Linked DNA regions of Tamandua tetradactyla. The protein of the gene in region 1 interacts with the protein of each later gene in a biochemical or structural test. Links are inferred from orthologs where the notes say so. Each region holds a gene or a part of one and is shown in the gene's direction. Other genes may lie near its edges. The genes, in order: FGFR1, FGF6, ANOS1 and PLCG1.

Region 1 (7,028 bases):
AAAAAATTAACCACCATGGATACCATTAATTGAGTGGTTACAACATGCCAGACACTCTATCGAGTGCATTAATGCATTATTATCTCAGTGCATCTTTTCAACAACTCTGAAGAACAGGGACTGCCATTATTCTCACTTCACCACTGAGGAAATACAGAGGAATTAAACAATTTGCCCAAGATCACACAGCCAGTACGAAGAGGCAAAATCAGGACTGACACCCAGAAGACCTGTTTGATCCCAGAGACTGAATTCTCCCTCTTAGAGGAAGAGAACTCAGAAGCTTTCATACCCCAGCATGTACCCTCCAGCCTTACCTTCCACAAGTGTCCAAGATGAGTTTGTGGATTTTCACATGCTGTTTGCCACTCTTTAAAGTCAAGAATCACTTCCTTTTAGCCATCTTTATTCTAAGGAATTAAGCCTCTTGATTGCTCCTCCCAAAACACCTTGCACAAGCAGCTGGGCTGGCGCAGCACTGCCTGCAGTGTTAGGTCCCCCACCCCACCCCACCCCAAGCCAGAGCTACTGGGATGCCCTTGTCCCTTTCATTTTCAGAAACACCGTGTCCAGCTCAGTGCCTGAAGCACAAAAGTGCTCCCCAACCTTAGTGGATGGTCTTGCACTAGGGCCAGGCAAGTCCAGCCACTACTGCAGCTAGTTCCCTTGCTCACCCCCAGTTGTTAGGAGAGAGTGAAGTATTATTTACAAAAACACCAAGCCAAACAAGACCCTCCCTTCCCTGACAAGCTGAAGCTGTGCTAAGAACAGCCAGGGGTTACCAAATGGCCGCCAGATGGTAACTGACTGTTGCTCCCTGACTCCAGGGGCCTGGGGCAAAAGGCTTTGCCGCCCACCTGCTCCCAGGGACCTGTGAACGGCCCACTTTGCAGGGGAAAACCCGACAGTTCACTCCTGCTGCATCCCTTCCTGCAACCAGCTCTCAGAGCTGGGTTTCAGCCAGTTCCTATCACAGCTAAGGGACCCCCCACCCAAAGCCTGACTGGAGCAGACTTGAGGCCCAACCTCGCCCAGTCCATCCCCCCAAACTTCTTCCGTTTCAGTGAGGTGTTAACTCTGAAGTATGAACCGGTCTAGTGAAGTCCTCATCCCTGGTTGGGACTGCTGAGCCCTGAAATAAACAAACTCAGATGGCGCAGGGGAGCAGTGGGGCGAATGGACTGTGGGGAAAGAGAAGCTCCCTACTCGGTGGAGGAGCTCAGAGAACACAAGCGGCTCTAAGGAGAAGGAAGGGATTTTCTGCAACTGTTCCCAAACAAAGAGGACCGGCCGGGCTTTGGGGAGAGCTCCGTTTCCCTTCTTTTCATTCAGCACTGTTCCCCTCCCCCTGTAGATCCGGGAGGCTACAGGCCCCCAACTGGTTATCAGGTCCTAGAGCATGAAGGCCTTTTGTCTCCCTCTCCGACATCTTGCTGGCAGGGCAAGGGGCCTACAAATCCTCCGTGACCCTCCCAGCTCTTTGTTATCTCCAAGGGAAGATTACATTTCTGTGTGGGGAGGCAAGGAGCCAGGAGTCCTCAGTGCAGGACAGAAGCAGGCAGAGCTGCCATATGACCCTTGCTGCCTGGAATGGCTCAGGGCTGCCCTGGGGATGCTCTCCCTCCATTGGCCTGAGACTTGTCCTGAGCTGAGGGTCTACATTTCAAAAAGAGTTGGGGGAAGGGTGGGGGTGGGGAGCGGCGCGAGTGGGGAGCCGGTCTAGAATGAAGAAAGCAGTCAGCTCTCAATTATTCAGGAGCCACAGTCTGCTGATGGCCCATTCGTCCTCAGGGTTTTAGGACTTCTCCATTCTGGCTCTCGTGGGATGTTTCCTTAAGAACTGAGGAAGAGAGAGCTATTGAGTTGTCCACTTGCTTTCATTTTAGTTACCGGGTGAAGCATAGAGGAATTTGTTCACTGGCAGCGCCTGTGCCCCTCAACACCAAAGAGGCAGCTAGATCATTCTTTTTGGTTTAAAACAAGGACACGCTCTTCAGCTGCCTCCTTGGGACTCCAAAATGGTTCCAAAACAAAAGAAATGAAAAAAAAAAAAAAAAAAAAAGGCTGGATTTAAAACAGGATAAAACATGAACTGTTTTTCTGTTTTAAAAAAAGCAAAGAGAGGAAAGGTGATCCACTCTTCTTTGGGAATAAAGTGGGAAAACAGTAATTGGGTGTGAACATGAAATGCTAGATTCTTCCATGGCTTGTCTTCCCAACCATTTTTGTATTTTGTCCTCTGATGACCCAGGTTTGCTACCCTCATCACATCCATCAACAACAAACATACACGAAAAACCTCCTGAGGACAGAGAATTGAGCTAGGCCAGATATGTAGAAGGGAGCCTTGCCTTAGAACAGTTTAGGAGTCAACTAAAGGGAAAGAGCATAGGGTAAAAAAGACAACTAACAAAGGCTATATCAAGTATCAAATAGGTGGGATATACCAGAGGATTACTAGGAGTTTCAGGGATTAATAAGGAGGGGTGTGAGTCTGGTCTTCTTACATCTCTGGGATAAGCATTATTTGCAACACAGGTGGCCTAATGGGTGGGCAGCTGATAGGAAAGGATCAGTGGAACCTGTCCAGGAGCTGGAAGGTTAAAGGGGTGGACAGACAAGCTTGCAGGAGAAATAACCCTATACACCCTATAAACAGTTGATGTTCATTTATTCCACAAATATGTGAGTTCCTGCTATTTATTCATTCATTCAAAAATTTTTATTGAATATTTACTCCTCAGTCAGTCCATAAACAGTTATGGATTGTCTGTTCTTTCACTGATGGTGAAATGAAAAAGGAGCTTAGAGACCCTTTCAATAAGTTTGGAGGACCTAATCATCAGTATTTGAACTTCCAAGACCTTGTGGGGTAGGGATGAGGAAACAGACCCTACTATTAACTTAGTTACTTCTGTTTGTGTAACACTTTTGGTGTACTGATATCCATTACTTAATTCCATCCTCATTTTCAGATGTATGACTTGTCTAAGATCAAACAGTTCATCAGCAAAGGACCAGAATTGAAGTCTCCTTCCTATTCAGTGTGGCACTGCACTCTACCAGTGGCCCCAAACCTGCCCTCACATTACAGGTACAATATAAGGGAGCTTAAATATATATATACAGATTTCCTGGCTCCTTCTTGGAACAGCCTGTTTCCACAGGAGTGAGTGGGCCAAAGAATTTGTATTTTCAAAATGCTCCCCAAAGAACTCATGTACCTTTGGATTAGGAAACCACTAGATATACCACCCCATGGAAGGACCCAGGGAAAAGGACATTTAGGTCATTCTCCCTGGGTTCCACCTAATGCTGCGGTGATTCATTTTCAAACCAACACCTCCCCACAACTCCCACCACTCACTCAGCTTCCTAAACATTCACCACATGCTAGAGACTTCTGGAGGATAAGAAGAGTGCTGTAGAATTTATGGGGTTCAGTACCCTGGGAACCACAAAACTTGAATTAATGTAGCTGGATTGAATGAGATCACGGAATCTGAGGAAGGGGTTCCAGCCTCAGATACTCGAATAAAAACGTCTGTTAACTACGTTCCAGACCGTAAACCTACGTCTCCTTTAATCCAGAACTCTATGTGGAATGTACTATTATGCCCCTTTTTACAGATAGAAAAACGGAGATTTAGAGTAAGAAAAATCATTTTCCAAGTTAAACCGTCAGACTCAAAAAGCCTATGCTATCACGAACAACCTTATGGTTACATTCTCTCCCCATCTCATCCTCCAAACTGTTAGCTTGCCAGCGGCCTGATATTCCGGCGCCCTGCTCACGGTACTCAGAGGGAAGGGCACGCGCGCCCAACGAGCCCAGACTGCAGGAAACCAGCAGAAGAGAGCCGGCGGCGCGGCTCGCTCCCCCTGTCTCGGGGGCCGCGGCTCAGGAACTACAAGGCCCAGCAGGCAGCTGAAGGGGGAGGAAGAGGAGGAGGGACTAGCGGGCCGTGGGATTGCGAGAGGGAGTCCTCGCGCCTCGCCGGCGCACAGCGCTCGGAGCGCTCCTGCGGGCACTGGTGTGTCGGCCTCGGCAGGAGGAGGCGGAGAGCGGGACCCCGGAATCCTGGTCCTGCCGCACCCGCAGCACGCCGAGGAACCCCGGCAGTGCCGGGAGCTGGGCCGGCCACGTCTGGACAGGACCGAGACCCTGCTTAGCGCATTGCGTCTCGCTCGCCTTCCCCAGCCACCAGCGCTCCCCGCAGCTGGAAAAGCCAAGCCGAGCCCAAGGACTTTTCTCCAGTCCGAGTGGCGCCCAGCTGGGCGCACCGTTACCAGTGCTGCAGTCGGGCGCGCCGCTGGGCCGGGGCCCCCGCAGGACGATGGAACCGGGTGTGCCAGAAGCGTGAGCCGCCGCCGCGGGGTTCAGCAGAGTCGGGGCACAGAGTCTGGAGACCCTGGGCGGCGGACAGGAGCCCTCCCCCCCGCCGCCCCGCCTCCGGGGCACCAGCTTCGGCTCCATTGTTCCCGCCCGGGCTGGAAGCGCCGAACCCCGCGCGGAGCCGGGACCCGAGCTGAGCCCCGAGGGCAGCGGGCCGGAGCGGGAGACGCGGGCAGCCGCCAGTCTACACAAGCCACGGCGGACTCTCCAGAGGCGGCACCGCAGCGCCGGGTGAGGTAAGAGCCGCGGCGCCCGCCAGATCCCGCTCAGGCTGGAAGTCCCGAGCGGCTCCCCGCGCCGGAGCCTCCCAGCCGCGCGCTTCCTCTGCTGCAGCCCAGTCGGGGCCGGCGCCTCCCTCCCAGCCCTCCTCCACCTTCCGGCTCCCTGTCCACTCCCAGCCTACTGCACCCCTCTTTTGTCGGCCCTACGCCCCCCACCCACCCCGCATCTACCAGCGTCGCCTTCTGCGCCCCCTCCCCAACCCTAGTCCCGCCGCCCAACTTTTCTGCCAACTCGCGCTCCGGAGCGGTCAGTTCAGAGAGGGACTGAGATGGGGGCAAAGGCGGCGGCGGCCCTGGGGGCTTCTCCGCCTGGGGAGAGAGGTGGTGTGGTGGTGTGTGTGTGCGTGTGTGTGCGCGTGTTGTGTGTGTTTGTGTGTGTGTGTTGCATTTCACTCCTCCCTTTTGGGTCCCTTCGTGGTGACTCATCCCAATTCAGCAGGTAGCTCCGGACAGACAGCTAACAATCCGGGATATTTATGTCTTCTTCCCTCTCCCGGAAAGTCTGGGGTCGGGGGTGGGTGGATGGGTAGGGGTATGAAGGGGGAAGGCAGAGGGGGTCGGCCTAGCCTACCCCTGAATAGGTTTTAAGGAGGTGGCGTCACCAAATGACTGGATATCTGCTTGAGCGGAGGGCGAGGGAGGAATTCTCCGTCCCAGGGAGGGGTGTCTTCTGCACAGTCCATCCCAGACAGGGTCGGAAGTTTGGAGAAGGGCGAGGGCGCCCAAAGGGTTGATGTTAAGCCCCGGGATGGGGTTATGGGGGAGGGGAACATACCCTTCCAGTCCGGTTCTTAGAGGTGGGGGAAGGGATGAGGATTTTGTCGGGTGGGCTCACTCGGCACCTAGGCCTGTTGCTCTCTGTTCGCCGCTCCCCACATTCTTTATGTTTGGGGTGGGGAGAAAGGGGGAGAATCCTTTCATTGCCCGAGGAATTTACTGACGTGGTAGATGGGGTTCATACAACACACGCCCTATGAAAGCAGCCAGACACCTTTTTTGAGGAGAGGGGGTGAGGCCATTCTGTCCTTTTGGGGCCCAGAAGCTACAAAAAGACCCATTTTAAGAACACGTCTGTGATGTCTCTCTTCCTCAACACTTTTTCCTCCCATATTCCAGACGTACCATCGGCATCTGGTTCCATTTCACTCCACACGGGTACACCGCAGCCACGTTATTAGCATCCCACCCACCCCTATTAAAACGGGGATTCTTAAACACGTCCTTTAAATTTTCTTAAAAATTGGGGATGAGGGGCTGGGATTCAGGGAGAAAAAGTTACCTTGGATCCCAAGCTATGTAGGATTCCCACTTACTTATTTTCCTGCTGCTGCTCATGGGTGGTGGTTGGGACGCTTTCTAAACTGCAGAAAAGAGACGTCGTGGGAGAAGGGGGCCAGGCTTTAGGGGATAACACTTGCCAGCAGTCCATCTGCCTCTTGGACCGTGGGTCTGACCCAGAATTGGCCCTGACGGATGTTTCGCGAACAAAAGCAGGGCACTCTCTTCCCTTCGGTTAGAGCTTCTGTCCCGAGTGCGCAATCCTTCCTTCGGAGTTGCCCATCCCCGGCTGCCCCTTCGGTGGCGTTCACGCGTCCCTTTTCCCGGTGCGCAGCGCGTGGGGACGTGTAGGGAGGGCCGGCGGGGGGGTGGGGGGCTGCCTGTGGCCCTTCCCTGTGAGTGTTTTAAGGAGTTTGGGGGAGGCTGCAGCGCCCGGAAACCAAAGTGAGACGTTTGACCGTTGACTAACGGGCTACAGGTCTGACGCGGGGATTGGCTTGATGAGTTGTGTTTTTTTTTATTTGTTTTTTTTGTAATATCCTTTGGCACAGGAAAGCAGCGCCCTCTGGCCCAAAGTTGAGAGCGGGTGGAGAAGAGTTGGTCTCCCTCACCCTCTCTCTCCTTTCCAGGCTCTTTCAAATTGAAAACACTTCTCTAGTTTCCTTCTTTGGGCGGGTAGTTTGGAGGCTGCAATGAAATCGCACTTTCTCTAGACATGGTAATTAAGGTGACTGTTTCCTCCGCAGATGTGGCCTGCCCTTTGCACCTCCGGACCAGCGCTTTTTTTGGAATCCCACCTAAATTGTAGAACCTTAGCCTTGAGACTGTTGAACTGAAAGTGGCCATTTTCCCCCTTTGGCCCAGCATCCGGGTTTCCTCTCCAAGGCTTGTTTAAAAGCTAAGTAGCTGAGCCCCGTGGGACGTGCCTCGGTCTGGCTAATTACCCTCTGAGCTTGGGTGTCTTCCTTCTTTTCAGTGCTATTGCTGACCGCCTGCCCCCATAGCCTCCGTAATGACTTGTTTACGTATTTCCCTCCAGTTAGCTGGGAGAGGCTCTGGAGCTGCTGCTGACC
Region 2 (7,375 bases), on another chromosome or scaffold:
GTTAATGGGCTTGTATTAATGAGACCTAAGGAGAGTTCAATTCCCTGAGGAAAGTACAAAGAATGGTTTCCTCCATGGATCTGCTAGCAAGATAACAGCTAACTCTTTCCCTGCAAAAGTCCAATCTGAAGTCCTTTGAAATATTTTCTCATGAATCCTCCCACTTCTAGCAAGTCTCATGAGTCCTGGATGTTCCTCTTTGCTCACCTCTAGGGCAGGGATCCCTCCCATTCCTTCACCTCTACACATGCTCGTCTCATACCCATGAGTATCTCCACCATTGAACACCAGGGATGAGTGCCGAGGTGCTTGTGTGAGCAAGAGAGAGGGAGAGACAAAGAGAGGCATCAAGGCCCCTGTTCTAGTCTGCTGCCTGCTGGAACATAATATACCAGAAACAGAATGGCTTTTTAAAAAGGGAATTTAATAAGTTGCTAGTTTACAGTTCTAAGGCCAAGAAAATGTCCCAATTAAAACAAGTCTATAGAAATGTCCAATCAAAGGCATCCAGGGAAAGATACCTTGGTTCAAGAAGGCCGATGGAGTTCATGTTTCTCTCTCAGCTGGAAGGGCACATGGCGAACATGGTGGCATCTGCTGGCTTTCTCGTGGCTCTACAAAATAGGACTCTCTCCAAAAGGTTTCCTCTTCTAAAGGAATCCAGCAAGGAATCCTCCACCTTCAATGGGTGGAGACACACCTCTATGGAAATCATCCAATCAAAAGTTACTACCCACAATTGGGTGGGTCACATCTCCATGGGAACAATCAAAATGCTCCCACCAAGCAATACTGAATGAGGATTAAAGGACGTGGCTTTTCTGGGATCCACCACAGATTCAAACCGGCACAGTCCCTGTCCCCAGGAAGCTCAAAAACAGACTTTGCAACAAAAGACCTAAAAACATTAAACACAAGCCACTACTTTATTTTCTACATTATAATTTTCTGTATTTTCCAAATTATCTCTAGAAAAAAAGACAAATGTTAATTTTTCAAAGCCAAATGTAAAAAGCGCAAATAAACAGTTTTTCATAATCCACACTTCTATGGCTCTTCTGCGCTTTATGTGCATTCCCTTAGGGTCACCCCTGGTCATTCCCTTAGGGTTTGAATTTTATTATGTGGGAAACAGGAGCCATGGAAGGCAGCCTGCCCCGCTGTGATGAGGCAGTTCCACCCTGCAGATGATAGGAAAGCCAAGTGTAGCTAAGCACTGCCAAATATGAACAATCTGTATCTCGTGGTGCCTCACTTAGAGACCGGATACTGTCGTGGAAGGAGACAGACATTAACATTTTTTCCCCACTCACCTACATTAAATCTTGGCTCATCCAGAAAGAGTGATTGACAACCCCCAAAGGCTGCTACGCAACTATTTGAAAGAGGGGTTCTCAGAGAGGCCCTCCACCTGTTCCTCTTTTCTTCATCACTTCACATCCATAGGGGTCCCTAAGCCCCAAGAGAAGGGTCAAGTGCAAATCTGGTAAACCAAGAAGCCCCAGCAGTTGTCAACCTAATTAGCCTTCGGGAAAAATATATGGAGCTATGAGCACTATGGGGTTGCTATAGGGACAGGCCCAGAAGGCGCATTTAGAACAGGGCCTCATCACATCACCAGATAAAAATAAGACCCAGGCTTTTTAATAGAATGAATTACTTAAGTTTTATATTTAACAGGGGACGACACCAAGGCTATTACTGGTTTTTGGAATATTTCAGGCACCTGCGCTGCCTGCATCTGCATATGTTAACAGCCATCACAACATATGTTCTGGTGAATGGCAGTTAGGAACCGGAGCCCACGTGTCTCTTCCACCCCTTCAGATGAAAGCTGGTCCTTCCCACTCTGGGTTTGTCCTCCTTTAATGGGGTGAGAGATTTTCAGTGTTTTTCAGAGAAAGGAAAGGGTTAGAGTTATATCGTGTCCCTCCTACCCTATGCCCTTTGCATATACCATTGCTAATCTCTGGAACAATCCTATGAAACAAAAAGCTCGGATTTGCAGATAAAAAAAAAAAAATTGAGGCTCAGAGAAGTTAAAAATTTTCCCTATATCACACAGCTGATAAATGGTGGAGATGGAACTCAAATCCAACTCTTTCCCATTCCAAAGTCCATTGATTTATGAGACACCAAACACAAACGTATGTAAAGAGAGGACTCTGGGATGAGGTAAGTCTAAAGTGAGTTACCATTTTTATTGACCTATGGCATGGACCTTGTTATTGTTTATCTCTCCCCCAAGGCAGTCCCAAAGTGGATGAGTTCCAGGAAGATTTCCACCAGGAGAGTCTGACCTCGGTTGATGAGCACTTTCTCAATCATCCATGGCAAGTTTTAATTCCAACTACCTTCCCCCTCCTATCCAACTCGCTTCTGGGCAAGAAGTTGGTTTCTAAGTTGGTACCAGCAAAAGCTGATTAACACATGATTCCAAACTAAACATCATTAAGAGAGTTTCTCCACTGCTCTCGCATACATGAAAGCTTAACTATATGAAATCAAGCAAAAAATCCAGTTTGGGATTATTTATGACATCTCCTACTCTGCAGAGGAAGCTTCTATACCTTCTTTTTTTTTAATTTAATTTAATGTTTTTACATGGCAGGCACCAGGAGACAAACCCGGGTCTCCGGCATGGCAGGTGAGAACTCTGCCTGCTGAGCCACCGTGGCCCACCCTATAACCTCTTTTTAAAAACAGACAAAACAAAATAACTTTTCAACACAAGGCTTATTAGACTCTACCTGTGGCCAGAAGGTGCCAGTCTCTCATTGTGGAATTGGCAGCACTAGTGATGTTGAGTTTGGGCATAAGACAATGGAAGTGACAAGAAAGGGAAAGATAGTCAGGTGATAGCAATTGGAGGTACTTACCTCCCTCCCTAATCATTTTGCCAGCTGAGGGTAATGACAGCAGGGTGCCTGCATTTCAAGGGGTCTGAGAGAACACATCCAGGGCAAAACTGAAATGCTCAACTTCACAGAAATTCTCCCCAAAGCATCAATCCAAATGAGCTAAGCAGAGGAGCAGAAGGCAAGTAGAAGCCACAGACTGGAGCCTGGGACCCCAGACCAGAGCAGGAGGGCTGGAATCAGAAGGGAGCTAGTGCGGCCTCAGAAGAGTGCCTGAGCAGTGGAGCACATCCTGGGAGCTTTTCCCAGGCTGCCTGCAGCCTCCAGGGGAGGTGCAGAATGTAGCTGAGGGAGCCTACCAGCTAGCAGCCCTCCTACGTGTAAAGGATGTTCAAGGCCATCCCCAGAACACACGCACACACCAACACACACAGCCTTCCAATCCACGTGCAATCGGTGCTCAAAGTCCGCCAACACATTAAGACCTGGATTGAAAGACAAGACACCTAGATTTTAGACGCACATTAATTCACCATGTGACCCTTAACTTATCTCACTTTCAGAGACAGCTGCTTATATCTTATATTCACATAGCAACTTCTTGATGATTTTTCTTGGTAGGTCTTTTTTTTTTTTAAGTATTTATACCTCAGTTGGACATGTACTCGATTTAAAAATAATACGGGAAAATAAAATTGGGTGTGGGAATAACTACTCAGCAGAAATATTTTTTCTAAGTTCTAACACTGATAACCTAGCAAATGTTAACATGCAATTGCAGAAATACATCTGTGCATCAAAGATCTCAAGTTTTTTGAACAAATTAATTCTTCTCTGCTATTGAAATAATTCTGTGGATTCCTGGAGCCTGCCCATGCCAAAAAGAAAAAAAAATTCTGTAATGTGCTCTTGGCACATAATGAGTTAAGCAGACTTTGTGGATCAGCCTGGAAATCTAACTTCTACTATAGGCAATATCACACAGAATTTCAAAGCACAGGCAGGCCTTATATGTTCTGGCTTTATCATGTATTAGCAGCGGTGGCTCCGGTAAATCACTTCGTCTCTCTAAGCCTTGGCTTCCTCATCTGCACAGTGGAATATTATCAGTCAGATGCCAGGGACGGCAGCAGCTCAGAAAATGGCCAATAGGCTATGTCGAGTGACAGACACCACTTCCACGCCTTCGGCATGTCAATGCCATGGGCGGGGTGGTGAGCAGAGGCGCTACACCCTAGCTCTACCATCTCTCATAATCCAAAAACTCCTTGGACAAGCTCTCCACCAGAATCTCTGTCCTCCCCTACTGAAAGGGTTTGGCCTTTCGGTGACCCCCTGCCCTTGACTGTGGGCTCTTTCCATGAAAAGATTTCAAAGGTAACTTGCAAACCATGGTCATCACCCACCACCAAGCCCTTTCCCCTCTAAATAAGGAAGCCGGCACTGCCAGGCCAAGAACGGACTTCTGCCCAATTTGGGTGCAGGGTGGCCTCTCACTTCCCTTTTCCCCTGGGCCCCCATCCAGCTGCCCCTCCCCCAGAGATGCTCCCGCTACCTTCATTCCTGCCTCATAGTTGGAATGACAGTGGTTCCCAGAGTCCCTGGGGAGTGGGGAGGGTGATGCGGGTCTGGGGAGGGAGCCAGGCCCAGGAGCAGGTTAATGTTACATCCTTGGATAAGTGAGCTGGGCCAGTTGACGTCAGGATGATGATGGGTGGAGGGGAGGGCTGGGCTGCTGAACTATAAAGATAGGTCAAATCAAATGTAATCAACTCGGGACAGAGCGAGCAGCCGAGCTAGAGAGAGTCCCCAAGCCATGGTCCCTACCAGCCAGGGCTCAGCCTGGGTCCCTCTGCTCCCGACCCGAGTGCCCAAAGTAGGCTTTGGTTTCATGTCAGCAGCCTTCATCTGCCTTCCAAAAATAAGCCCCTGCCGCCATGCCGAGGGGAGGAAAACAAGAAGGGCAGTATTTTTAGGGCCATTAATTCTGACCACGTGCCTGAGAGGCAAGGTGGATGGCCCTGGGACAGAGGCTGCTCATCACTATGTCCCGGGGAGCAGGACGCCTTCAGGGCACGCTGTGGGCTCTCGTCTTCCTGGGCGTCCTAGCGGGCACGGTGGTGCCCTCGCCGGCAGGCACCCGCGCCAACAGCACCCTGCTGGACTCGAGGGGCTGGGGCACCCTGCTGTCCAGGTCTCGCACTGGGCTGGCTGGAGACTTTGCCGGGGTGAACTGGGAAAGTGGCTACCTGGTGGGGATCAAGCGCCAACGGAGGCTGTACTGCAACGTGGGCATCGGCTTCCACCTCCAGGTGCCCCCCGACGGCCGGATCAGCGGGACCCACGAGGAGAACCCCTACAGTGAGTGCAGCGCCAGGCAGTTGGGAAGCTCGAGGGCTCGGGCTCAAGCAGGGCTCAGAGAGGAAGGGTGCTTGCTCTGGGTGGGTGGGACCTTACTTTAAAGGGGGAGAAATGTTATTCATCACCACCGTGAGATGCTGATGAGCACACCCAGCTGTCTGACCCTGCCCCGCCACAGGCTTAATGTGCTGAGGTCCAAGCATCCTGATGTCCTTCACCGCCACCCCACGATGCCCCTGGCCGCAGCACTGCTGGCCCTGTGGCCTTGTAAGACCCCTGGGATCGTTCAGTCCTGGGAGCCATAAGCCAGGGCTGGGGAGAATGAGTTAGAAGTACTTGGACCAAATGAGACACCAGCTAATTTTTTTTTCAGATTCCCTCTTTGAAAAGGAAAGGCAAGCAGTTTGCACATTTCCTAGCTGAAGCACATCCCTCTTGTTTTATTTCAAACCTGCTCCCCCCTGTCCACAGGCCCTTATCCTACTATCCGGTGGGCTGCTGCATCATTAGGCTCCCCTCCTGGAGAGAGGATGGGGCTGCAAGGGCCAGGCCAACCGTCAGCCTCTGCGTGGCTGCAGCACTGGGGCGATTTGATGGGTTGGGATTTGTTGAAACATGTGGCATATGCATTTAAAAACAAAATCATCTGCATCCTTGTTTTTTGTGGTGGTGTTTTTTTTTCCTTCCAAGACAAGCTCCTGATGTGATTATGTCAGGGACACCCAGATTCAAAGCAAACCTCAAAGAGATCAGTATGTGGTCATTCCAATCCCAGCTCTGAAGTCAGACCTGTCCCTTGCAGAACTAGATTTTTAACAGAGTAGTGGAGGGACATGATGAGTCTAGAAGTCAGGATCTCCAAAGTTAGAAGGAAGAGGATGGAGGCCATGTTGGGTCCGACTTTCCAGAAACAGGGGGATGGGCTGTGATTATCAGACCACAGCGAGCCTCAAGTCCCACTCTGATTTGCACAAGCCTTAGGTAACGGGGCCCTCATTTCTTTGTCAGGTCTGCTGGAGATTTCCACAGTGGAGCGAGGTGTGGTGAGTCTCTTTGGAGTGAAAAGTGGGCTCTTTGTTGCCATGAACAGTAAGGGAAGACTGTATACAACGGTGAGTTCTTCGGGCCAGGGGTGGGTCTGGGTTTTATGAAGCCTGCAGCTTAAGCAAGTTAAGAAAATGATATAGGATTTTTGAGTAGAGATGTGACTATTTAACTAGAATGAGAAAAAAAAGGGACTGTGGAAGGAACCTGTGAAAGTGAAATGCCTTGAGGCTTGTGCTTCATTAGCCTTACAGTCAATTGGTCTCTGGACTGCATTTTTCCAGATTCTACCTGCCAGAGCCTTTGCAATGAAAGGGGAACTAAAGCTTCAGAAAGCTCTTGTCAGAAGGAAACCTGCGGTGGGCATAAGGCTGTCATCCAGCCTCGCAATCAGGTTTGATTTCCTGAATTGGAAAGCCCAGAGAAGGCCAGCCTGTCCTTCAGCCCGAGTGTGTGTCCATCCATGTCGCACTCATGGAAGAGACCCCAGGGGTGAGAGTGCAGTGGGAAGGTGAGCCTGGAGACTATTATTCTCACCTTCAACAATTTGTTCACATTTTATTCAGACCGCTGGTCCTGGATCGAATAGGCTGGAGAAGCCGCCTCCCTATGTCTTTGACACCCTCAGCTAGCACCAGGTCCCACCCCCACCCCACCATAGGCCACCCCTGGGAGGGCCAGTGCTGGGGCTGTGGTTAATGCAACCATTTTCTAAGCACATTTACCAAAGCCTTTGCTCTCTCACACCCACTTGGTCCTGGGTCGCCTAGCCCATGCTGAAGATTATTCTAAAATATGGTTTGGGAAAAAGTCCCCTTGAGATTAAGGAACCCGAGATTCTTTTGACAGAAATTAGAAGGTTAAAAAGGGAATATTTCAGGACAACAGTCAAGGAATCCCAGTGTTATTTTGGGGGGGAGGCTCTAGAGAACCATTCTACCTCTCCTTGGAGGATGGATTGAGATTGGTGCTGGTCTTGGGGAAAGCTGTTAAATATTGGGATGGGTAACCCGCATGGCCTCTGTCTCAAGATCTTTAGCTGAGACTTATCAGAAATGATCACAAACTAGTTTGTTAATAAAGGTGGCATGATAAGAGTTGATTCATGGAGA
Region 3 (7,892 bases), on another chromosome or scaffold:
TAGGGTCAAATTAGTTAATTGCCAAGGTTTGAGGGCAAGTGCTCTACTTTACTGGTATCAAACATCCAGGGATTTGTGTTTCAAAAAATTCAGTGTCCTGCTGTTTGTGTGTGTGTGTGTGTGTGTGTGTGTAGGGGGACGAGCAGGGGGAAGACACTAAAATCAACAGTGATCAGCACATGTACTGAAGTTAAAATTCCCAGGGTGGGGGTGCTGGGAGGGAAAAAAACATTCACAGTCAAATATCGCGTTCCTCATATATTCAATCCTTGAAAAATGAAAAAGGCAGACCGGTAAAAACAAACAAAAAAGCCTGTATATTTTCATAATTATTCCAATTAAGGAATAGGTACAAGCAGATTTATCACTACTAGTTGGTGACTTTGGTAGAAGGGAGGGAAAGGGGCAAGGAGACAAAGTTTTGCAATGTGTGCATGGAGTAGTCTGGACTCATGTTATTTGACAGTATTTTAATGAAACAATGCAAATGAAGTAAAAATCATTAAAATATTCTTTAACTCAAAAAGTAATCGAAGACACATTTTTGTCTGATACGTCTTAGTAAAATTTTAGGAAACATTAAGTGATTGATATAGTACCTTTAGGCCTACAAAAATTGCTACTGACTTTTTGTAATTGTATTGAGAAGAAAATTGTGCTCTGGGATAAAGCCAAAACCAACTGGGCAGTCTGGCGTTGCAGATGATAAAAGAAAGCAGGTGATTGCCAAGTGGATGTGCTGTTTTTTTGTGAAAACTAAAGTGAATATTCACTGACCCCAATTACACATTTTCATTTGTAAAATGATTAAGTTGACCATCAGTACCATAAAGATACACCCATTCTAGAATGAAATCATATTGCAAAACATACAAATCTGACATATAACCAATTAAATTGTGCTCCCATTTCATTTTTTTTTCTCTCTCAGTAACTTTCTTAGCATTCCCTGGATCATGCCATCTCAAGCTAAGCAGAATGAAAGAATTTTTGGAGGAATAGCAAAGCATAGTAAAGGAGTAGATTTCAGAGACTCAGTCTAGCAAATTCTGAGAACGTCACCTGGGAGGGTAAGGGTAGGCCTAGCCCTGGCAGAACAGCTTCTTAGTTTTCCCACTTTTGCGTTTCCTGAAGTTAATTTCAGTTTCAGAGAGAAGGTGCAAGTTTTTGTGTTATCAAATGGAGGCAATTAGGAAGGAAATTGGCAGCTCATTTGAGTTTCCTCCTCTTACTTCAAAGTCCCTGAAGACAGGAATGGCATTCTGTTCAAAACTCATTCAGGGCTTCAAACAAAAGTATTTATTCTTCCCCAATTGTAGATCTCAATTTGCTTTTCTAAGAGGGGCGTGTCAGAGAAGGATTATGCTTGATTCTTTCATATTTCATCCTTATCAACCAAATGGAGCTGGAGAACTTAAAAAGTCTTTAAAAAGACAAATTTCTAGCCTGGAAAAAATTAATCTAAGATTGTCTTGGTTAAATGTATTGGAACAAAATATCATGTGATTTAGTAAGAAATGGATCGTTGTGTCCAATCCACATCAACACATATGCATAAATAGGTACTTCAAAAAGTTGTCAGAGGTGCTGTCTAAATTGAAGTTGCCACCCTTGTTCTTAAAGGAATACAGGTTTTCTAAATCAGTATCAAACCACAGTCCAGGGTTCATGGCTATAGAATCACATGGGGAGTTGGTTAAAAGTTTATATTACAAAACCCCACCCCCACTAAACCAGAATCTCTCAAGTTGAGGCCCTGGAGTCTATCTTTAGCAAGCTTCCCAGGTAGTTTTCATGCTCCATTTTCTTTCTTTCTTTTTTTTTTTGGTGGGGGGCACTGGAGGGGCTTATCAGCTTAAGAAAACTCAAGGAAGAGCATAACTCGCGTTTTCCGAAATGAACAAGGTCCCTCATTTTATCTGCGTTTTTACAACCTGACCGAGCTACATTTGCCTTTGTTCCCATGGATATAACTGAGAGTAAATTAAATCCCTTTTCTACTCTTCTTGACAGATGTGTGTTTTGTCTCCTTCGAGACAAACCGAAGTCAGTTGAAGGTTGTTTCCTCTCTAGACAAATTCAGGCAATGGTATTCAAGTGGAGAAAGACATGTTAAGTATTTTCTTTCTAAGCACACCTGTACGATTCCCACCCATTCATTTATCCATCATTACTTCAGCATACACTGACTGTTCTCTTCCTGGGTGGCTGGTTTTCATGAAGTTAGGGTGGGCTTATGACTTATGTGAAAAGTTAGAGAGGTACCATTTACTAGCTCCCAGGGTCAGCTGCATAGTAAATTGGTTATATGAGCAGAGTTATAGATTTCCACTGTTACTCTGACTTTACTAAAATGTTTTTTTTTCTTTTTGGAAGTTATTTAAATTGGAATTAAAATAAATAGCATGAGGAGACCTTTATAATCACGGAGGATTTCTGGGCTAATTCTAAAGGAAGAAGGTGTATTATTTTAACATACGCATAATAAACTGGCCCTTAGAAATCCTAAGATTTCTCTTCAACTGACTAGTTGTTCTCTTTTGTGGTTTATTATGAAATGCATTTATTCATGAAAATGAATATTCCATAGAACATAGAAGTAACACAGAAGTTGCTTTTTAAAAAAATACAGCAAATCCTTTGAATGCTTAAAGACTGTTTTTAAAAGCTTAGCATACTTGTCCTTATGATTTCACTTTCTAGAATATAAATTTCATGATATGACATGCAAAATTGTAAATCAAAGACACCTTTAAAAAATACAGGTTTGCATAAAATCCTTGCCTTCACCAAGACCAGGTGTTTACTTTACTTTGAAACTTAAAAAAACACTGTGGAAGGATCCACTGCAGTTTTTGGAAATGTTTTTATTGATTCCCAAGTGAAAGTGATAAAACTAACCCCCCTCCCACCAAAAAAAATCCCTGAAGTCAGAAGTCACTCCTCTAACCTCTTTAGTCTCTTTGCTCTTAATCAACAGCAAATTTAATGTATTTTAAAAAGGTTTTTATTGATTCCCAAGTGAAAGTGATAAAACTAACCCCCCTCCCACCAAAAAAAATCCCTGAAGTCAGAAGTCACTCCTCTAACCTCTTTAGTCTCTTTGCTCTTAATCAACAGCAAATTTAATGTATTTTAAAAAGGTTTCCATTTCTGAGCATCTTTTAAACAAACTATTGAACTCTCATGAGCTCATGCCTACACTTTTAGATTTCCAGCTCAAGTATAGTATTGTCATGGCTAAAACTGGCAGACAGGACCAGCTATGTAATTTTGGGGGCCCAGCACAAAATGAAAATGGGGGCTCCCTGCTCAAAAAATGCATACAATTTTCAACGTGGTAGCAGCAGAGCATTAAACCAAGTGTAGGGGTTTTCTAAGACTGCGACCCTGGGGGTTCGAACAGGTTGCACTGCCTTGAAGCTAGGCGGGCCTTACAGGCCCTTTTTAACAAAAACAATTCTGGGAGCTTCTAATACTCTGGCCTCCCTGACATAAATTGCGTGAAGAAGTATACATATAAGATGATGTAATAGAAAAAGCCATCATAGCAAAAACCCCAGTTATCCTCATTTGTTAACAGAAAGGTCTCAAAATCACAGAACCTAAGTGTGCAGTAGAGGAAAGAGGTTGTATTGTCATCTTCCAGCTCCTTAGGACATATGCAAAGAGGAATCAGTAGGGCTTTGTACTGTATCCTTCAGCAGGTTCAGGGCACGCTGACACACTTACAGCCACACTCTTTTAAAACCTGTAGTGTTCGGTGTGAGAATGTGGCTGTGGGTCATTTTTTCTGCATTTGAATATATATGAGCATGTCCCAATATCAGTGGTGGGGTTAGGTGTTATCAGTCTCTCCACCCCCATAGTGCAGTCATTCTCCATGCCCAGGTCCCAGCGCTCTGGTGGGTCTTCTCCCTTCAAGCTGGCTGGGGGCACGCTCCTCAACCCCCCCCCTCCCCCACGGCCCGAGCCTTGGGGAAATGGGATGTTCTGTTACAAATGCCTGGGGTCTCCTTCTCTGGCAGGGCTCTGGCTGAGGAGGGAGGACAGAGGTGATGAAGGACCTTGGAATATAACGAGACACCGGAGCAGCAATTTCAAAGCTAAAAGGCCGAATTAGGTGGCTTGGGCACACCCAAGTGGGAGACCAGCCTTGCGTTTAGAGTTGTCCGCGCACGGCGGCGGGGTGGCGCCGGCTAGGAACAGACACCTGCCAAACAAGGTGCGCGGGCCTGTTTAACAAACGGCGGGGTTGTGTACTCACTTTCCCAGGTGATACTAGGAGGGGGGAGCGATGGAGCAGGAAAGGATCGGCAAAAGGGAGTGAGAAGGGAAGGGGGCGCTGTCAGTCACATGGCCTGGTCCGGCTCTCCGCTCTAACCACGTCCTTGTTAGTAGAGCTCCAGGCTGGGTCCCCACTTGGGGAGAGCCCGAGAGCAGCCTGGACGTGGGGCGGCCACCCGGAAGGCGGCACACAGCTTCGGGCGCTCTAGCGTTCACGCCACAGCCCCGACGCCCGGAGGGCCCCTGGCGCGCCGGTCTCTGCCCAGCTGCGGGCCTGCGCACACCTGTCAGCGGGCAGCGCCGCACACCTGGACGTCGGGGGCGGGCGGGCGGCCACCCCGACGGCGCGACGCGGGGAGGAGGCGGGCGTGGTCCGGGGCTCCCGCCCGGAGACCTGCGCGCGGGCTCCCTGTCACTCAGGGCCCGCCCAGCCAATGGCGCGGCCGCCCGCCCCCTCCCCCCAGCCCTGGCGGCTTGAACTTCCCGGCGGCGGCGCGGCGGCCGCGAGGTGCCCGGCAGTGCGGCCCCGGCGCGGAGCGGGGAGCCTCGGCCCGCGCCCCCGACCCGCAGCCATGGATCCCGGCGCGCCCGGCGCCGCCCTGACCCTATGCCTCTGGCTGGCGGCCTCTGGGGGCTGCCTGGCGGCCGGGCCTGGAGCGGGGCGGCGGCTGGACGAGTCGCTGGCGGCCGGGAGCGTCCAGCGCGCCCGCTGCGCCTCCAGGTGCCTCAGCCTGCAGATCACGCGCATCTCCGCCTTCTTCCAGCACTTCCAGGTACTGCGCCGGTTCCGCCCGCCCGCTGGGCGCCCCCGAGGCTGCGGGCCCGCGTCCCCTACCCCGCCCCACCGCCGCGACTTCGACGGGTCTCGGCTTTCCCTCGGCACTGCTTTTCCACCCCGGGCCCCGGGACCCTCCCTCTCAGCTTCCCCACTGCTCCCGAAACGCTAAAGCAGCCCGCAGCATCTTTCCTCGCGACTCTTCCTCTCGGCGGGAAAAGGAGGGCGGCCTCCTTGGGGGGTGGGACGGCAATTTCGTGGCGCTCACCGATGGGTGCAGATTTATTAGTTGCGGGAGATCCTGCGCTGCTGGCGAGTCCCGCAAAGTGCCGGGCGCTGCCAGGTTAGTCCCCGAGGCGCGCCAGGGGCACCGTGCGACGTGCCCAGCCTTGCAGGTGCCCCCGAGCTGACACTTGTCCCTCCTAGGCCATGGCCCGGAGCTCGCTGGCCACTTTTCGACCCTCTAGCAGGGCAGTGGGGCCATCCATGGCGTGCGTCCTAGCGTGTGTGTGTTGGAGCGGGGTTTGGCTGTGCGCACCCCACTTTTGAGCCCCAGAGCTTCAAGTTCTTACTAACGAGTGGCGTGAAGGCATTGGGAGAGGTGCAGGAAATAGGGAGCGTGGAGGGGTCGTGTTTGGGGTGCTCGGAGGTGGAGACCCAGGTTCCTTACCTGCTTCGCCGGGGCAGAATCTTCTGCCTGAGGGTGTGTGTGCTTGAGCGAATGCGGCTCTGTAAGACTCTCCGGGAACAGCACCCTTTGCGCCTGCGGGTTGCCGGATTTTGGGGGCTCCAGAGGAACCCCGGTGTCCGTGGGCGCACGCGAGCTGCGCCCCGCCTCCGCTCGCGCAGAGCGCACAGCTCCCTGGCGCAGCCGATCCGAGCGCGCGAGCTCTGAAATCCTTCCCGGCCGCCTGCCTTCTCTCGCCGGCACTGCTGCTCTCCCTTGCGCGCTGCTGTCTAGCCTGAGCTGCTCACTGGTTTCAAGATCCTCACTTCTCCGCTTGCGGAGGCCAGGAGGAGACCAGAGCCTGTTACTCGGCGGGACCATTGCTGCAAGCCGAGCCTTCTGCCCTTAAGGAATAAGCGGGCGCCCCTCTCGCCTGGGTGGGAAAGAGGGGGCCTCCCGATGGGCCCCGGGAATTAAGCTGCAAGAGGAGCGATTTTAATGTTGGTGGAGTTGGGACGGTTCCCCGTAGCTAAGGAAACCTTGTGCAGAGTGGAGGCGACCGCTGAAAATTGGGTTCTTTAAAGAGATCGAACCAGCCCGTGAAGTTTGTGGGTGCGGGAGCGTAGTTTCGTTTCTTCTTAGTAGGTTTCAGAGAAATGGTCTTAGGAGAAAGAACCTGGGGCTCTGGTGGGGTGAAATAGCTCGGATGTCCTGGAGATGTTACTTGGTTTCAGACTCACCCACCTCTGCCATGAAAGTCCTGAGAAGATGCAGCAGTATTGTTTAAATAACAGAAAACAAAACATAACAGCGCATTCCCGGGGAGGGAGAGTATCTTTTTTTTTTTTTAATGGAATTTGTCAGTTGCTGTAATTTATTTGTTTTACAGTTTGCATGGCTAAAGAAATAGTTTAGATCAAGCCAATTCTGGTGAAAAGGCTTTTCTTCTAGTCCCTTGGCATGACTTCTCTTCTGAAGAGAAACTGCTGACAGAATACACGTTGCCAAACAATCCTGATTACATTTTAATTAGCTGGGGTGAAATAAGCTGCAAATTACGCAGTTAGGACTTAATAACTGCTGTTTTGTAATCAGTGGCAAAGCCGTTCTGGGAGTTTTAACCCTAACCTGGTAATGCCTGTTTGATTTATCTCAATTACAGGGATTAAGCATTGTCAAGATGTGAAAAGACACACTTTCCTGATAAAATCAGATACAGCTTCAAGCTTCCCTGTCCCTCCCCCTTTAATAATTAAAAGGAGGAATCAGGCTTAGCCAACCCACTCCTCTGTGCATGTAACGTGCCCAGAGAATGGGCTGGAAAAAGACCTGAAAGAGCTCCTTCTGTCTGTTCTTCCTGACATCTCCAACTTGTACAAATATCCCCAAGAAGAAGTCTGTTTTTGGAGCAAGTGCCTATTTCTGACTTCTCTTGCAGGAGTCTAGGCCTCCTTGTAAGGGTGGGGAAAGGTTGCCTTCATCCTTGATGCCACACGGATGTGTAGACTGTCAAGTGTGAATGCTGCCAAGCCTTGGCTGGAAAGAACCTGAACTGTGGACTAATAGCTCAGGCAGAAACTCTGAACCTGAGGAACAGTCTGACCTGGTGCGGTATGGCTACAGAGGAGGCTCAAATTGATTATTTTCTGCCCCAATTCAGTGCGCTTTCCAATACCTCCCAGCCCTCCAGCCGCTGAGCTGAAGAGCTGTGAATATACACACCTGGTGTCCTTCACCTCTGCAAGATTGGAATTGCTTCAGTTGCTCATAGTAGTGTCAGCTGTGCCTGAAAGCCAAAGGGATCCTGAGTACTAAGGGAGGGGAGTGGAAAAGGGAACAGGGAAACTGAATTATCTGATATGCCCCCAACCTGGAACAGCATAGAATTTAATACTAAAAGTACGAGGAGTTCTATACTCACTCATTTTACTAGTGAACGCTGTACTTTGATTGTGAAAACAAGGTTTGTAAGTTTGTATCTCCCGAGTGATCAGTGTCCAGCACAGTGGTGCCTTGAACAAAGAATTTGGCATGTTGCCATTTTAAGTTCACAAATATAGTACCTGCAGATAGTTAAGTCAGGCCTTCCTTAGGAGGCGATTGGGAGGCTCATCTCTGTCGGTGGGTGGTATGGTGGTGGGATAGTCTTCAGTGCCAGGCTTG
Region 4 (7,190 bases), on another chromosome or scaffold:
AAAGTTAAAAAGGAAAGGGGCAAAATTTTATGCATGGGTCAAATTGGATACTGCAGGTCTATAAATCTGCCTACCTTAGATTGCAGAATGAGCTTCTCTGAGCTATTCTTTCAAATTATACCTTCTATATTCACCTAAGGTCATTAGGAACAGACAAATGAATATTGCTTCATCATTTGTTGTTAATATGTTGAGGACATTCTCCACTATTTCAATCAAATAAGTTTCCATGTGAGAAACTTATAATTTAGGCCCAGGAAAATGTTTCTACCCCCAAGAATCAGAATAGAAAGAGCTTTTGCCTTGGCTACCACTCATGGCAGCTACGTTAACCTATGTGGTTATTCTATCATCTTCTTATGACCCCGTACCCATTCTTATAGGACAATATTTTTGACTCTTGTTTTAAATACCCAACTTTTTTTTAGCGGTTGGAAAATAATACATTTGTGGAGGGTAAGGAAGGACTTACAGCCCCAACTGCTGTGAGAGCCACCTGCAGAACACCTTCAGCTGTTGGCTCCCTCTAAGGGAGCCCTCTGGCCCTGTGCTCTTCCCAGGGCAGTCCACATCCAATGACTGGTTGAGGCGGGGCTATGAAGACCAGCCAGTCCAGCCCTAGCTGGACAACAGAACTCCCTGAGGGTTGGCTGAGCCTGTCATCAGGCTCGCATCACAGCTTGATTTCTCCCTCTGCCCACTCCTGTTTCCTTCCTCTTCCTTCCACAGTATTGATCCCAAGGGCACTTCCAAGTAAACATTCTGCACACTAACCTCTGTCATAGAGTCTGTTTCCGAAAGAACCCAACTGCAACAACATTTAACAAAATAGAAAACAGATTACGTAGTGTTATTATGGAAAGGCGTGAGGATATACAATAAATGCTTATACATACACAGGAGGCAACACAGCATTGACTCTGGAGCCAGGTTGCCTGGATTTGAATCCCATCTCTGCCACTTATTAGCTGTGTGACCTTGGGCATATCCCTCAACCTCCCTGTGCTTCAGTTTTCTCATGTGTAAAATGAGGATACTAACAGTGCTATCTCAGTGTTGTAATGTGGGTAATGCTGTTACATGGTGTTTACTACGTGCCAAGCACTGTTCTAAGTGGTTGTTAAATAGAACAAAATAAATCTGTGAGGCCAATCCCGCAGGGCCGGAGGAGCAGCTGAACGACTTCTCCCCAATTTCCAGGCACAGGCACTGGTGTAGGCTAGGGCATGTTGAAGCATGAGTGTTCACAGAAATAGGCCCAAGCACAGCTTGCCCGGGTGATGTCACGGATGTGTGCTTGTGTGGGTGCTGGGGCTACTCCCTCCCAACCTGTGTAGCTACACGTATTGCCAGTAGCACCCACGTACTCATATTTTTACTGAGCTTGGGGAAGCCCAGGCCAGCTACACCCTTTGTTGCCCTGTTTTTCTAGAACTGCCTTTGGCAGAGGGAGGCACCTGAGACCTGGGATGCTGGTCTAGAAGTTCCAGGAGGAAATGGGTCTTTGTTTCCTCATCAAGGGACCTGGCAGCAGACTCAAAGCACAGGCTCCAGGTGGCAGGGATTTCTGGAACCCCTGTGGGCCCAGCCCCAGCAGCAGAAGCAAAAGCAAAGGAGTATGGTCTGCACACTGGGAAGCATCCAGAGAATGGAGAAACAGATCTACAAAGTGCAATTCAGCCCAAGTCAGAACAGGGAAGTTTAACAAGGGCTGAAGCGTTTAAGAGGGGATCTTCTAGGGAAAACGGACAAGGTCTGGTTAGGCTGGTAGAGGGGGGGCTCCCATTCAGCCTTCACCTGCCTTCCTCCTTATCTCCTTATTCCCTACTCCCTCCCTTACTAAACTCTGCCTTCTTTCTATTTCTAAACTCCCCAAACTCTTTCTGGCCTCAGGGCCTTTGTACATGCTGTTTCCTCAGCCTGGAAGGCACTTTCCTCCAACCCAGCTCTAATAATTCCCCTGAATATTTCTAATGAATCCTAAAGAGACCTTCCCTGTCTACTTGATCTGAGGTAGGTCTCTCTAATGTTTTCTCTCACAGCCCCCTGTTCTTTTCCTTCCATCACAGTGTTTCTTAAATTAATGTCTGTGAATTCTGGGCCCCTTTGTCCTCCCAGCTTGTGGTTCTGACACCTGGCAGAGGTGTGCTCAGGTTCTGTAGTCAGGGACAGTACCTCTTTAAGCCCAAACAAGCCCAAGCTGCACCCTATGAGCAACCATGTGCTGCTGGATGCTATGTTCTGCCTCTTCTCACCCATACTGACGAACCAGCTAGCTCTATGCCCCCTGACTACTCACTGCCATGGCCTGCTTAAGCCAGGGATTCTCCTGTGAGGCAGAAACCACACAGCATCAGACTTGAGTTCAAATCCCAGGGCATCGACTTGTTTGTTATGCGGCTCAGGGCACGCCGCAGACCTTCTCTGCATCTCGGCCTCCTCAGTAAAATGACAACGATACTGTGAGATCAGAGAGTGATTGTGAGGATCAGGTGTGATCACAAGCACAGACCGTGAGTTCCTTCCCTCCTATTCTAAAGGGCCGTCGCTAGGTGGCAGTCCATCTCAGCTGCCCCATATCCTCTTGGGCCCAAGCTCCATGAAACTATTAGGACAAAGCTTTTCAACTTCATGCTGGAATTCTGAGCTTTTTAAGAGCCATATTCAAGGGAATCACAGACAAGAACAAATGCACAAAAAAAGTTACCACTACACCAAGACAAGGTCAGAGGCAGCTCCAGGCACGGCACTAGTTCTTGTACAGTTCGGTTACCAAAGTGAGCGCCCACTCTTCTAGCCTCAGTAAACCTGGAAGCTGCTGGATGCTGTACTGGGCCTCTCAGCCCTGACCACCTGCCTGGCTCGACGCGGTGCTGTGACAGGGGGCTGCTAGAGTGCAGGGACGAGTCCAGGGAACAGCTTCAGAAAGACAAAGCGTGTGATAGTCAAACCACCACAAAAAGGCCTTGTGGCTGGGGAATGGAGAGTGAAGGGAAGGAGACGAGAGGGAGGGAATGGCAGGCCTTCTGGGCCACAGCCAGGAGTGTGGTTTTTAAGTGCAATGGGAAGTGAGGGAGGGCTTCAGGCTGGACGAAGGGGAGCATGTTTTAATTTCATTTTAAAGATGAAAGCATGGGGAGAGGATGCAACAGACGGGAAGCGGGCAAGACCGAAGGTGCGCTGAGGTGGATGAAGGACACTGGGACTGCGGGACGAGAGGCCTTGCAAAGAATGCTCAGGCCTGGAGGGCGTCTTCCACCGGGCGGCTCTCGAGGACCACGCCGGCCGCAAAAGCGGGACAGGAGTGGGTCTGGTTAGCCGTGGCAAGAGAGGCCCGCCCGCCAGCCCCGCACGGCCAGAGGGGAGGAGGTGGGACAGGACTGCTGCCCATCAGCAGCCGCCGGCCAATCCGCAGACGACCCCGCCCCCACCCCTCCCCTGAGAGGGCGCACGGAGGGCCCGCCCCCGCCGCCGCCGCCGCCGCCGCCGCCGCGGGTGTGAGGCGGCCCGGCCTGGCTCCCTCCGCCGGGCATCTCGCCCAGGTAACTTGGTTTGGCCGGGCGGGCCCAGGAGGCGATCTGCACCCTCTTATCTCCTCCCCGTGGCCGCGCGGGCGGCCCTTGGCGAGTGGGGCGGGCCGTGGGGGCTGAGGAAAAGGCTGCGGCTGGGCCTGTGCGGGACGGCGGGCTGGGCGGCCTTCTGTGCCGGTGCGACTGACCGACGGGGCTGACGGCCGGGCCCTGCAGCCTGGGGGCGGGGCCGCCGTGCGGGACGGGGGCCGTTCGTGGCCGTCAGGCTGCGTGCGGGCTGCGCGTGGAGACTCGGAGGGACGACTGATTGAGTGGGAGCGGCGTGCGCGCGCCCGGGGCCATCACGCCCCGCGCCCCCGCCTGGGGCCTGTCCGGGGGTCGCTGGGCGCAGGCGCGACGGGCCGGCGGGCGGGGGTCCTCCCCACGCGCGCGCGGTCGCCTTTGTTCCCGGCGCGCGGGCCGGGGCGGGGTCTGCAGGGACGCCCCGCCCCCTCCCGCTCAGGCCCCGCCCCTCGGTCTCCGCCCGCAGGAGCCGCCGCCGAGTCCCGCTCGCCGGCCGCCGCTGCCGTCGTCGCTGCCTCTTGCTCCCGGCCGGCCGGGCCTGCGTCGCCGCCGCGCCCCTCGCTCCGGCTCTCGCAGCGGGAGCCATGGCCGGCGCGGGGTCCCCCTGCGCCAATGGCTGCGGTCCCGGCGCGCCCTCGGACGCCGAGGTGCTGCACCTCTGCCGCAGCCTCGAGGTGGGCACCGTCATGACTTTGTTCTACTCCAAGAAGTCGCAGCGACCCGAGCGGAAGACCTTTCAGGTCAAGCTGGAGACGAGGCAGATCACTTGGAGCCGCGGCGCCGACAAGATCGAGGGGGCCAGTGAGTGCGCTCCTCCGGGGGCCCGCTGCGCGCGCGGGGGCGGCGGGGAATCCGGGCCGGGCTCCGGCGCGCCCCGGCCGGCGGCTGGAACAACTCGGACAAACTTTCGGCCCTTCTCCACCCCCTCCGGTCCCCAACTCGTTTCGGGTGGTCACCGGGGGGGCGGGGGTATCCGGATCCTCGGTCACCTGACAGGACACCCCCTCCCCCAGCTGGCCGCGGCCAGCCTTTCTTCAAAAAGAGCGGTCTTAGTGAAACTGGACCATCAGGCCGGGGCTCTCATTTGTAAAGGAGCCTTTGGGTTCCCTAAGGAGAACTTAGGAAGATGTTGGGGGAGGACTGGTCTTGGAACAGAGCCAGGCTTTCTCATCCCCCTCTTGGGAGGAGGGAGGAAGGTGGTCCTGTTTGCTTTGGAAAAGCCGCAGAGAAGGCAATGGCTGCTCTTTCCTGCTGCTCCTTTTGTCCTGAAGCTGAGTTTTGGAGGCCTGTGTGGTCAGCAGACACCCAGAGCCAGGGCAGGGACTCACAGTGGGTCCAGCTCCCTTGAACTTGGGAGCACATTCCTAGGAGCTTGACCTCAAAAAAGGCCAGCCTGAGTGCCTTGGAGTCAGGTATTCTTTTCAAGAATGCTCACCCAGTTTGGAATTAGCCCTTTTTGTCCTGGGTCCGGTGGTTGCAGGGAGCTGGGAGCCAGAAGCTGTTGCTCTTGGTTTCCTGCCTCTTTCCCTTCCCAGTCCTGAGCTTGGCTGCTTTGTGCAGGTCTCTGGTGGGAGTTGGAGGATTCTGTAAAACCCCAAATCTTTGGGAGTTTTACTCTGTTTAGTATGTGCCTGTGCTGTGGCCGGATGGGCACTCTGCTCTGCCCTCCATTTCCCCACCTCCGAGTGTGGAGAGATGATGTGACTGCAACTGTAGGCTGTGGTTTGCTTCCTGCAAGGACCCCAGCCGCTCCTGTTAGAGAGCCATGTTCAGAACCAGGTCCATGTGGAGGAAGGGGGTCAGGAAGTGCCGCCCCCAAGGGAGGCTCCTCCAGACCTTCCTGGCTAGGGTGTACATGGGCTGCAGATGTGCTAGGCGATTGGGAAGAAAGAAGGAAGGTCTTGTGAGGCAGCCAGCCACAACTACAGACTCCAGATCTGACAGAGCCGCTTGAACCGTACCCCCATCTTAGCTGTCCAGTCACTGGGGGGAAGAGTTAGGGTGAGGTGGCTGTGGACCCCAAGGGGAGGAAGGACAGACACTGCCAGCTTTGGTGGTGCCCCCGTAATGTGCTAAATTTGGTGGCACTTTAAACAGTGGCTGCCCATCAGGCAGTAAGTGTAGCACGGTGGTTGGAGGTGGGCTGTGTTTGAAGCCCAAATATGAGTGTGTTCCCCAGCCAACCACTTCTCCGCACCTTAGTTTCCTCATCTGTAGAACGAGGGTATAGTATATCCATTCATATAGTGTTGCCGTGGGGATTAACTGAGATCACTGATGGAAAACATCCAGCACGGTGCCTGCCATGTGGTATATGTTTAGTGCATGGGAGCTGTTATTAATAAGCATAGTGTGGCCGCCCTCCTAGACCCTGACTGGGGAAGGTTGAGGGAGGTAGAGTGTGGCTGCAGGAGAGGATGAGCTTGCTAGGAAGGAAGGAGGTTGGGGACCAAGCTCACATTTACTTAGATCATTACCTTGAAATAGGGAGGAAATGGTTTTGCTTTGCCCCAATCCATCTCCACCCCCCACCTACCTACCACGTAGAATGGTATTTCTGCAGGGAAGGTATTTGACTATCTTTTTTCTAAGTTGGGGCCTGAGAAGTGTGGAGGGGAAGTCTAGTCCATGGTGTCTCAAGTCTTTGGGGACTGGAGGCAGAAATGTGGATTGATTACCCTATTCACCAAGGATGGGGTGGCTAGATGTGTACAGATTCAGTGATCTCATCAGGTAGCTGTGGATTTGAGAGGCCTGGAGGGGAGTAGGCAGAAGGTGTGGGAGGGGCCCCAACCCTTCATTTTGGGGGGCTCAGGTTGAAGGAGTCTGGGTAAAAAGGCTTGTAGGTTACTTGAGCAGAGCTCAGTTCTTGTCAGTGTAACCTCCCTCTGAAGCCTTGCCTTGCTTCTGCCTGTGCATTGGGTTCACCCTCTGGTGGGCTCCAATCCCTGCAGCCTCCTCTGCAGGCTCCGATGGGCTGTGCTGTGCTGACCAGAGGGCAGAGGAGAGTTGGGCTGCCAGCTCGGCCCCCTGCTACCTGGCCTCTTGCCCAGGGGCCTCAGGGGCCTGTCTTTCCCCTGCTGACCCTGCCAGGGTACCATGCAATGCCTGTGGCCTGGCCAGAGAGAGGAGCGTTTGTGTCTGTGGGCCGGAGGAGAAAGAGTGTGGTTCAGTGAAAGTGCATGACGCTCGTCTGTCAGACCTTGTCGTGTTCTAACTCCACACCCTCACTTGACCGCCTGTGAAGTGGGGCTAGCACCTGTTGATTTCTAGGGCGGGGGGTTTGGCTCAAAGGAGGAGTGGGGAAGTGCTTTGGTTGTGGTGGTGGTGTAACAGGGACCAGGTTGTTGTTTGACTTTTTTGTTGCAAATACTGACATAAGTGAATGAAAAACAATAGACTGCCTGCTGGGTTCTGTAGACTTAGTTGTGTGTTCGTGGCTAACTCTCACAAGGGTCCATCCATTTTACAGATGAGGAGATGGAAATACAGGGAGTGGAGTATGTCACAGGCGATACTGCTAGTGTGAGACAACCCTGGTGGGACCCAACTCTCCAGCTAGTGGCTGGCCAGCCAGTCCCAAGATGACTCCAAACC

What was found.
Region 2: the proteins of FGFR1 (region 1) and FGF6 interact in a biophysical measurement, tested with the Homo sapiens proteins (2 studies listed by BioGRID and IntAct, with this or other methods). The link is inferred for Tamandua tetradactyla from reciprocal best matches to the Homo sapiens genes FGFR1 and FGF6.
Region 3: the proteins of FGFR1 (region 1) and ANOS1 form a complex in vitro, tested with the Homo sapiens proteins (3 studies listed by BioGRID and IntAct, with this or other methods). The link is inferred for Tamandua tetradactyla from reciprocal best matches to the Homo sapiens genes FGFR1 and ANOS1.
Region 4: the proteins of FGFR1 (region 1) and PLCG1 form a complex in vitro, tested with the Homo sapiens proteins (4 studies listed by BioGRID and IntAct, with this or other methods). The link is inferred for Tamandua tetradactyla from reciprocal best matches to the Homo sapiens genes FGFR1 and PLCG1.

The regions. Positions count from the first base shown.
Region 1 is NC_135352.1:4,642,025-4,649,052, forward strand, and holds the start of FGFR1 (fibroblast growth factor receptor 1), read left to right. Parts: upstream 1-3,989; 5' UTR 3,990-4,632; intron 4,633-6,263; exon of another isoform or gene 6,264-6,281; intron 6,282-7,028. UniProt on the Homo sapiens protein: Tyrosine-protein kinase that acts as a cell-surface receptor for fibroblast growth factors and plays an essential role in the regulation of embryonic development, cell proliferation, differentiation and migration.
Region 2 is NC_135333.1:66,659,145-66,666,519, reverse strand, and holds FGF6 (fibroblast growth factor 6), read left to right. Parts: upstream 1-4,783; 5' UTR 4,784-4,873; coding exon 4,874-5,219; intron 5,220-6,227; coding exon 6,228-6,331; intron 6,332-6,547; coding exon 6,548-6,778; 3' UTR 6,779-6,810; downstream 6,811-7,375. UniProt on the Homo sapiens protein: Plays an important role in the regulation of cell proliferation, cell differentiation, angiogenesis and myogenesis, and is required for normal muscle regeneration.
Region 3 is NC_135353.1:167,186,097-167,193,988, forward strand, and holds the start of ANOS1 (anosmin-1), read left to right. Parts: upstream 1-4,859; coding exon 4,860-5,060; intron 5,061-7,892. UniProt on the Homo sapiens protein: Has a dual branch-promoting and guidance activity, which may play an important role in the patterning of mitral and tufted cell collaterals to the olfactory cortex. Chemoattractant for fetal olfactory epithelial cells.
Region 4 is NC_135327.1:11,016,360-11,023,549, reverse strand, and holds the start of PLCG1 (1-phosphatidylinositol 4,5-bisphosphate phosphodiesterase gamma-1), read left to right. Parts: upstream 1-4,177; coding exon 4,178-4,394; intron 4,395-7,190. UniProt on the Homo sapiens protein: Mediates the production of the second messenger molecules diacylglycerol (DAG) and inositol 1,4,5-trisphosphate (IP3). Plays an important role in the regulation of intracellular signaling cascades.